2 linked regions of the Oryctolagus cuniculus genome follow. The protein of the gene in region 2 binds, or shares a complex with, the protein of the main gene of each other region. Links are inferred from orthologs where the notes say so. Each region holds a gene or a part of one and is shown on either strand. Other genes may lie near its edges.

Region 1 (3,740 bases), on a different chromosome or scaffold from region 2:
GAAACCTACCTAAAGGCCATTTCTGACACTCTCCATGCAATCCCTACCGCGTCACCACCTGGCATTTTGTCCTTAACATTTTTGCGGCCCTCTGTACCTTCACCAATAGACCGCAAACGTCTAGAACACGGTTTGGCACCTATCAGGTGCACAACAGTGCTCGCTGATCCAGCGGATGCAGATTTTAAAACTGGGTGACTTGGAGAGACACGGGAAGGAAAAGCAGGTTTTTAACGGGAGGGGGCGGGCGGAGGATGAGCAGCTCCGTCTGAGCGGTGGAGTGCACGTTACAAACGGGTCCCCCGGCGCGGGCATCGGGCCAGCACCCCGAATCCCCGGCACACCGCCCACGCGGAGCGCAAGGCAGAGAGAGCCAAGGGCACTCGCCAGGAACGAGCGCCCCGGGACGCAAGGCACGTGAAGACTCGGGGATCGCAGCTGGACCACAAGAGCCCACGCGGGGAACGGGCAAAAATCCGCACGAACTTCACCCGGCAGGTGCAACTCAACGCAAGGCGCCCGCACCTCCTCAGAGCGCGCGCGCTCCCGGGCCGGGTCGGCACCGGCGGGATCTCCGCGGGCTCCCCCTCCGCCGTGACCGAGGCTCCACGCCCGGCTGCACGCGGGCAGCCCCGCGCGGCGCCCCCCGAGCTGGGCAGCCGACGCCAGAGGACACTCCGGCCCCCGAGGACCGGAGAGAGCCCCTCACGCCGCGCGACCTCGCTGGGGCGCCCCGTCACCGTGCTCCCACGCGCCGCCGCCCGCGTCCGCCCTCACGAGCCCGGCCCCCCAGTCCTCCTACCTGCCGGCTCGCGGACACGGCCCGCCCCCCGACCGCTCACCGGGAATCCCGGCGCCGGAGAGCCCACCCTCCCGGCGCGGCCTGCCCCCGGCCCTCCACTCGGCGGCGGCCGGCCTGTGGCCCCGCCCACGCGGCCCAGCGCGCGCCCCGCCTCCCAGCGGCGCGCTCCTCCCACAGAGCGTCCCCGGCGCGATGACGTCACAGGGCAGACGCGCGCGCGCGCTGCGGGGCATCTGGGGGCCGCCGGGTCTGTGGGCTGCGGTGCGTGGCGAGCTCGGGGCAAGCCGGCGGGGTGAGGTGCGTGGGAGACCGGGCGTTCCCGGAAAGAGAGGGAGGAGAAAGATCGGAAAGTCTGTCCTGCAGGTGCTGGGGCGCCAGAGTGCGCCCCGCTCTGACGCGGCGCTGGGTGTCCGTGCCCTGGGCCCCGGGGTAGCGGTTGGAGGGGTCAGGGGGCGCCCGCCGCGCCTGGAGCTCGGAGCGCGGAGCCTGGGGGACGCGGTTTACCCGGGGAGGGAGCCCGCAGTGTGGCTGTGTCCCCCCACCCCCGACCTCCCGGTCCGGTCCGGTCCGGGAAGAACGGCGGCTTAGGGTCCTCGCCCTGTCTCAGGTCCGAAATGAAGAGGCTGGGCGCCCTGTAGGTCTTGCGGCCCCCTCTCCCCCGCCCTCCGGGACCTTAGCCTTGTCAAGCCCCCGGGTGGGGAGCCGGAGTACCGGGGCGCGGCGCGGCTGTGGGGTTCGGCCGCAGGTGTATGTGTGCGTGGTGGACAGCTCCGGACAGACTCCGTTTTGTGAGAAGCTCAGAATGGCTGCATGTCTCCTTTGTGTTAGCTTCGTCTCTGATAGACTTCGCTGTTTATACTGACGGGGAGTGGCTTGCCTTGTTCCGGTCGATGCTGTTGAATGACATGTCCACCTTGTCCTTTTTTATTAGCTTGGTTGAGATCCTCTGCCCCTTCCGGCTGGACAAAGATGGTCAACGTCTTGAAAGGAGTGCTCATAGAATGGTTAGTAGTTTTGATACCTCATTTACGTATTGACTCAAACTCATCTGACCTTTTCTGAGGTCAAGTCCCTTTTTCGTTTTCTTTTCTAAGGCCGGAATGCAATCAAGTCTTTCCATTTTCTACACTTTCAAAAAGTGAAACGTTTTGTCGCTAAATTTCTTCCAGAGTGTGGGGGGGAGGGGACAGAATTCAGTGTCTCCGTTGCATTAGTGTAATTGGCATCATTTCCAGCGATTTTTGATCAGAATTGATCGGCCTAGTCCTGGAGGGAAAGGTTACTCGTAATCTCTTCCAGCCATCAGAAGGTGACAGAGTTACAAGGCCTGTAAGATGGCAGGAGCTCCGTTGCCTTCATTACAAACTGACCTTTAAGGAGAAAGACAGGGCCCGTTAGGGTTTCTTGAACTCCTTTGCACACATGCCAGAGAAACCGGAGACCATCCCGGCCAAGGTTGAATTTGGCAAAGCAGTGTAATCTAGAGGGCTCGGCGATTGCCCAGTCTCCAAAATCTGCACTCCAGAATCAGTCTTGCTCCTTGTCCACTTGCTGGCTCACCCACCAGTAGTTCTGTCCCATGAAGGAACTCTGGCCTGCGCACCTCTGTGTGCCCCTGAGATGGCCATCGCACAGATGCTGCTATGTATCCCGTGACGGTGAGCCAGCCTGGGGAAGGGGCGAGGACAACAGCCGTCAGATTCGAGCGGCACCCTCCAATAGGAACAGAATGCAAGCCACATATGTAATCTTGAATTTTTTAGTAGCCACTTCTGAAAGTAAAATTAAATGGGTAAAATGAACATTTTATTTAACCCCAACATATTGAAAATATTCTTTCAGCTTGTACTGAGTTTTCAAAATAACAACAACAACAACAAAACGAATGCATTTGAAAGGCAGAGTTACAGAGAGGCAGAAAGAGAGAGATCTTCCATCCACTGGTTCTCTCCCAAAATGACCGTATTGGCCTGAGCTGAGCCGACCTGAAGCCAGGAGCTTCTTCCAGGTCTTCCACCTGGGTGCAGGGGCCCAAGGACTTGGACCATCTTCCACTGCTTCCCCAGGCCATAGCAGAGAGCTGGATCGGAAGTGGAGCTGTCAGGATTCAAACTGGCACCCACAAGGGATGCCAGCACTGCAGGTGTGGCTTTACCCACTACACCACAGCACCAGCCCCAAAAAACAGTCTTTAAAGTCCGGTGTGTATTGTGCTTTTCCAACATATCTCACAGACCGGCCCTATTTCAGTTGCTCTAGTGAGTGTGACTTGTGGGCTGCCTTATGGTTAGTACAGATCTGGAGTTTCGGCATAGGTGACCCGGCAAAGAGTGCAGAAGCTAAGGGAGAAAATGTTGCACGGAGGTGAATGGGCTGTAAGCAGGAGTGGTGAAAGGTGGATGATGTGAAGACAGACTAGATGAGATGCAGTCGATCTTTGGTAAGAGCTGTTTCGGTGGCGTGGTGGGAAAGGTGCCAGATTGGAGTGTGTTTGTCCCCCGCTCCTCCCTGGAGAATACTCTTCCAGCCCCTCCGCGGATGCCTTCCACCGCAGGTGATACCCAACCGTAAATGTAATGCCTTCCCGTTCTTACCTAAGCACTTAGGATGCACTGTGGTGATAACTTGCAGTTTGAGATGGGAGAGTAAAAGTAACAGGAACTTCTTCTACCAACACGATTTCATGAGTGGAGGATTGACTCTCATCATAGGTCGAAGCAACACCACACTGTTTTTTTCCCTGTGCTTATTAAGTGGAGAATTTTCACCACTTCACTTGAAGAAAGCATTTTACAGCTTCTCTCTGCTTTACCCGATTTGCACACTCCCTGCTCTTGCATTTGGGACAATTACTGAGTAAAACCAGGGCGCCTCAGCACAGCAGTGCTCTGACAGCCGAGGTCGCTGAGAAGACTGAGGGGCGGGTAGCACATCCAGC
Region 2 (3,740 bases):
GAGACACTGGGGAGAAGCAGAGAGACGGACGATGTAATTACCAGGGCAAAGGCAGATCTGACAGATCCCAGTTTGGGAATTACAGGCAATCGACTATTTAATGTAACCTGATCTACATCCACTGGCCTCTTATGTGCTCTCACAGAAGTGCAGGCACAGGGCATATTGGGTAAAGCCGCCACCTGCAGCACTGGCATCCCAAATGAGTGCTGGTTCGAGTCCCTGCTGCTCTACTTCTGATCCAGCTCTCTGCTATGGCCTGGGAAGGCAGAAGATGGTCCAAGTCCTTGGGCTCCTGCACTCATGTGGGAGACCTGGAAGAAGCTCCTGGCTTCGGATCAGCCCAGCCCATGCCATTGCAACCATTTGGGGGAATGAATCAGCAGATGGAAGACCTCTCTTTCTCTCTGCCTCTGCCTCTCTGTAACTCTGCCTTTCAAACAAGTAAGTAAATCTTAAAAAAAAAAAAAAAAAAAAAAAAGTGCAGGCACTGCAGTGCAGTGGGCAGAGCTGCTGTGTACGAGGTGGGCATTCTGTATCAGAGCACCAGTTGGAAGAGGCTGCTTTGCTTCTGATCCAGCTCCCAGATCACTTTGGCTTCACCCAGCCCCAGGCACTGAGGCCACCTGGGGAGTGAAGCAGTGGATGGAAGACCTCTTTCACTGTCTCTCCCTATCTCTGTCTTTCAAATAAATAAAACAAACCTTAAAAAAAAGAGAGAGAGAGAGAGAGAAATGCAGGCTCGCTCAGAACCAGATATGCATGGAGGACAAAAACCATGGCAGGGGCCAGCGATTGTGGATTAGTGGGCAAAGCCCCACCTGCAGTGCTGGCATCCCATATGGGTGCCGGTTCAAGTCCCAGCTGCTCCACTTCCAATCCCTGCTAATGCACCCGGGAAAGCAGAAGAGGATGGCCCAGGTCCTTGGGCCCCTGCACCCACGTGGGAGACCTGGAAGAAGCTCCAGGAGCCTGGCTTCAGATCAGTGCAGCTCCGGCCATTGTGGCCATCTGGGCAGTGAACCAACGGATTAAAGACCCCTCTCTCTCTCTGTAATTCTGCCTTTCATATAAATAAATAAGTCTTTAAAAATTAATAATTGGGGCTGGCACTATGGCGCAGTGGGTTGACGCCCTGACCTAAGGCGCCGGCATCCCATATGGGTGCCAGTTCATATCCTGGCTGCTCCACTTCCAACCCAACTCTCTGCTGTGGCCTGGGAAAGCAGTAGAGGATAGCCCAAGTCCTTGGGCCCCTGCACCGTGTGGGAGACCTGGAAGAAGCTCCTGGCTCCTGGCTTCAGATCAGCACAGCTCCAGCCGTTGTGGCCATCTGGGGAGTGAACCAAAGGATGGAAGACCTTTCTCTGTCTCTACCTCTCTCTCTTTCAAATAAATAAAATTAATCTTTAAAAAATAATAATAATTTTTTAAAAAAGCATGGCAAATGAATGGAATCCTGCCCCCAAATCAAAATATTCTAGCAGCAAAAGACAGAGTTCTAGGCACTACCTGGGTGATTTAGAACCTGGGTCTGGGCAAGGGACTTCTTCAACCAAAGGTGTCCTCTCCCATGCTAAGGGGATTATCTCACTGAATAACTGAGACTTGAAAAACACCTCGGGCGCCTGGCCTGCACCGCGCAGTTAACTCAGAGGGTCTGACATCAGCTGGAGACTCGACTCCACACAAGAATTCGGGCTCATAAGTCAGACTGACCACGGTGCAGCCTTGGGTGGCAAACTTACCCTCCAGGAGGAGAGGAAGGCACCACCTACCTCCTGGGAACTCTCGAGAGCACTAAATAAGGCAAAATGTGTGTAAGTGAGAGGCGACTGCAGAGACGTCCAGGAGCCTGCCACCACCATGGCACTGGGCACCGCGTGTGTGCAGCCAGGGAGAGCTCGGCGTCTCGGCTTTCTCATCCATAAAAGGTCTCCTGGGAGAGGCCCCTACATCAGGACCTGCCGCAAGGGCAGGCCACGTGAGCCGGAGCCCAGGGGTGTGTCCCGAGGAAGTTAGTTTCTTCGGCCAAACCCCACACCTTACCTACCTCGGTCAAACTTCTTGCCTTCCGGGTCAATGTCTTTCACATCGAAAATGTCCTCAAACAGGATGCCCGCCATCGTGAGGGGGCCACGAGAGCAGCGGAAACGCGAGGAGCGAGACCACAACTACGAGTTAGCCCACTCTCGCGTGGAAAAAGAAGACACTAGAGCAAAAGGCGCCTGAACGCTGGCGGCAGAGCAGCAGGAAAGCGCATGCGCACCAGCTTGCAGTACGGCAGCCACTTCCGCCGCCTCCACCTCGGGGATTCTCAACTTCCGCCCCGATAGATTGCTGGCGAGGGAACACGCATTGAGGGCGTGTCTCCGAGCCAGGTGACTCCGCCCAGGGCGGGAACGCCCCAAGCACCACCTCTGGCGGAGGTGGCTCGGGTTATCGCGCTCCGCTGGGGCTCCGCTTCGCCCTCTCCAGAGTCCGGGCCCTGAAGCCTGGAATGCTTGGAGACTTAACCCAGGCCGAGACCTTGATCTTTGCCCCAGAGAAGCCGGGCCCTAGCCCTACCCTGCCGGTCCTCGTGTCCCCCGAGGGCATAGTCCGCGCCGGGGACGGGTGCAACAAAACTCCGCCCCCAGAGCGCTAGCCCAGCAGGACGTAATGCCTAGTCCCTCAACTGGCACCGAGGGCCCCCAGGTCGGCGGGGGCTGGCTCGGCCCTGCTGGACGTCACCTGAGCCGGGGCCGTCCAGGATATCACTCCGGGGGAAAGGAAAGCTGGCACTGCCCTCCTCTGGCGCTGCACCCTCCCCCCACCACTGCCCTCTTCCCCTGGGCCCTGCTCGCTCCTTCCGCCTGCCACAAATCCCCTCACACTGCCCTACCCGTTAGCAGTGCCCCCTCAGCGTGTGCCGCGTGTTCCCCCAGCACTGCCCTCCTCTTGGATCACTTTCCTGTCTCTTCCTCCCGGGTGCTGGCCCCCTTCTCCCACAACCTCCCTTCCTTGGCCTCCTGCCGCCCTCCTGCACGCCGCGTCTGCGCTCGCTATCTCGAACGCTGCCCGTGCACCCCGTGCTCACCCCACCCTCTGTTCTCTCCTTCCCCGGACCCTGATAGAGAAAGCCAAACCCCAGCAGGCCGTTTCCCCAAGGCGGCGAGACGTCAGCAGCTCCTGGGGTTTTCCTTGGGCCCTGCCAGGAGAAGCGACCTCTGCCCACCCCACCCCACCCCCGACGCCTGCCTTCCAGGCACTAGAACTCCCTTCCCTCGGGCCTTTCTTTCCCAGTCCCCTTGCCCGCAAAATCCGGCGGGTCCGGTATTGCAGGGGCACCTCCTGAGGCTAGCCCCGAGCAAGGGCAGGAGCCCAGAATGGCCCTCCGAATCCCCCGCAGAGGGGCCTTTCCAGGCCCGCCTGGGCCTCCAGTCCTCAGCAGAGAAGGCAGCTGCTCTCACGAATTAGCAGCCCTGCAGCCCCGAGCCCGAAGTCCTAAGCGCCCGGCGGCTCCGGTCCCTCTCCGCCTTGCACGGAGAGCTGTGGACCGGCTCCACGTGCCAGTGGCCCTGCCCCGCCCCGGCCGCGGGCGCCCCTCTCAGTCCTTCTCCGCCGGCAGGCGCGTTCCAGGCGCCCCCTGCCGCCTCTCCGGAGCCTGGGAGGCGGCCCCGTCGCAGACCCTAGCCGGGCTAGGCCGGCCCCTCCGGATGGGCTGGCGGGCGGAGCAGCGCAGAGGGCACCGCCCTCGG

The links.
Region 1: POLR2H (region 2) and GTF2H5 share a complex: the UniProt entries of both Homo sapiens proteins name them as parts of the TBP-based Pol II pre-initiation complex. The link is inferred for Oryctolagus cuniculus from reciprocal best matches to the Homo sapiens genes POLR2H and GTF2H5.

Annotation. Positions count from the first base shown.
Region 1 is NC_091436.1:9,585,020-9,588,759, reverse strand, and holds the start of GTF2H5 (general transcription factor IIH subunit 5), read left to right. Parts: upstream 1-956; 5' UTR 957-1,099; intron 1,100-1,733; 5' UTR 1,734-1,771; coding exon 1,772-1,806; intron 1,807-3,740. UniProt on the Homo sapiens protein: Component of the general transcription and DNA repair factor IIH (TFIIH) core complex, which is involved in general and transcription-coupled nucleotide excision repair (NER) of damaged DNA and, when complexed to CAK, in RNA transcription by RNA polymerase II.
Region 2 is NC_091435.1:93,932,129-93,935,868, reverse strand, and holds the start of POLR2H (DNA-directed RNA polymerases I, II, and III subunit RPABC3), read right to left. Parts: upstream 2,638-3,740; 5' UTR 2,127-2,637; coding exon 2,054-2,126; intron 7-2,053; coding exon 1-6. UniProt on the Homo sapiens protein: DNA-dependent RNA polymerase catalyzes the transcription of DNA into RNA using the four ribonucleoside triphosphates as substrates.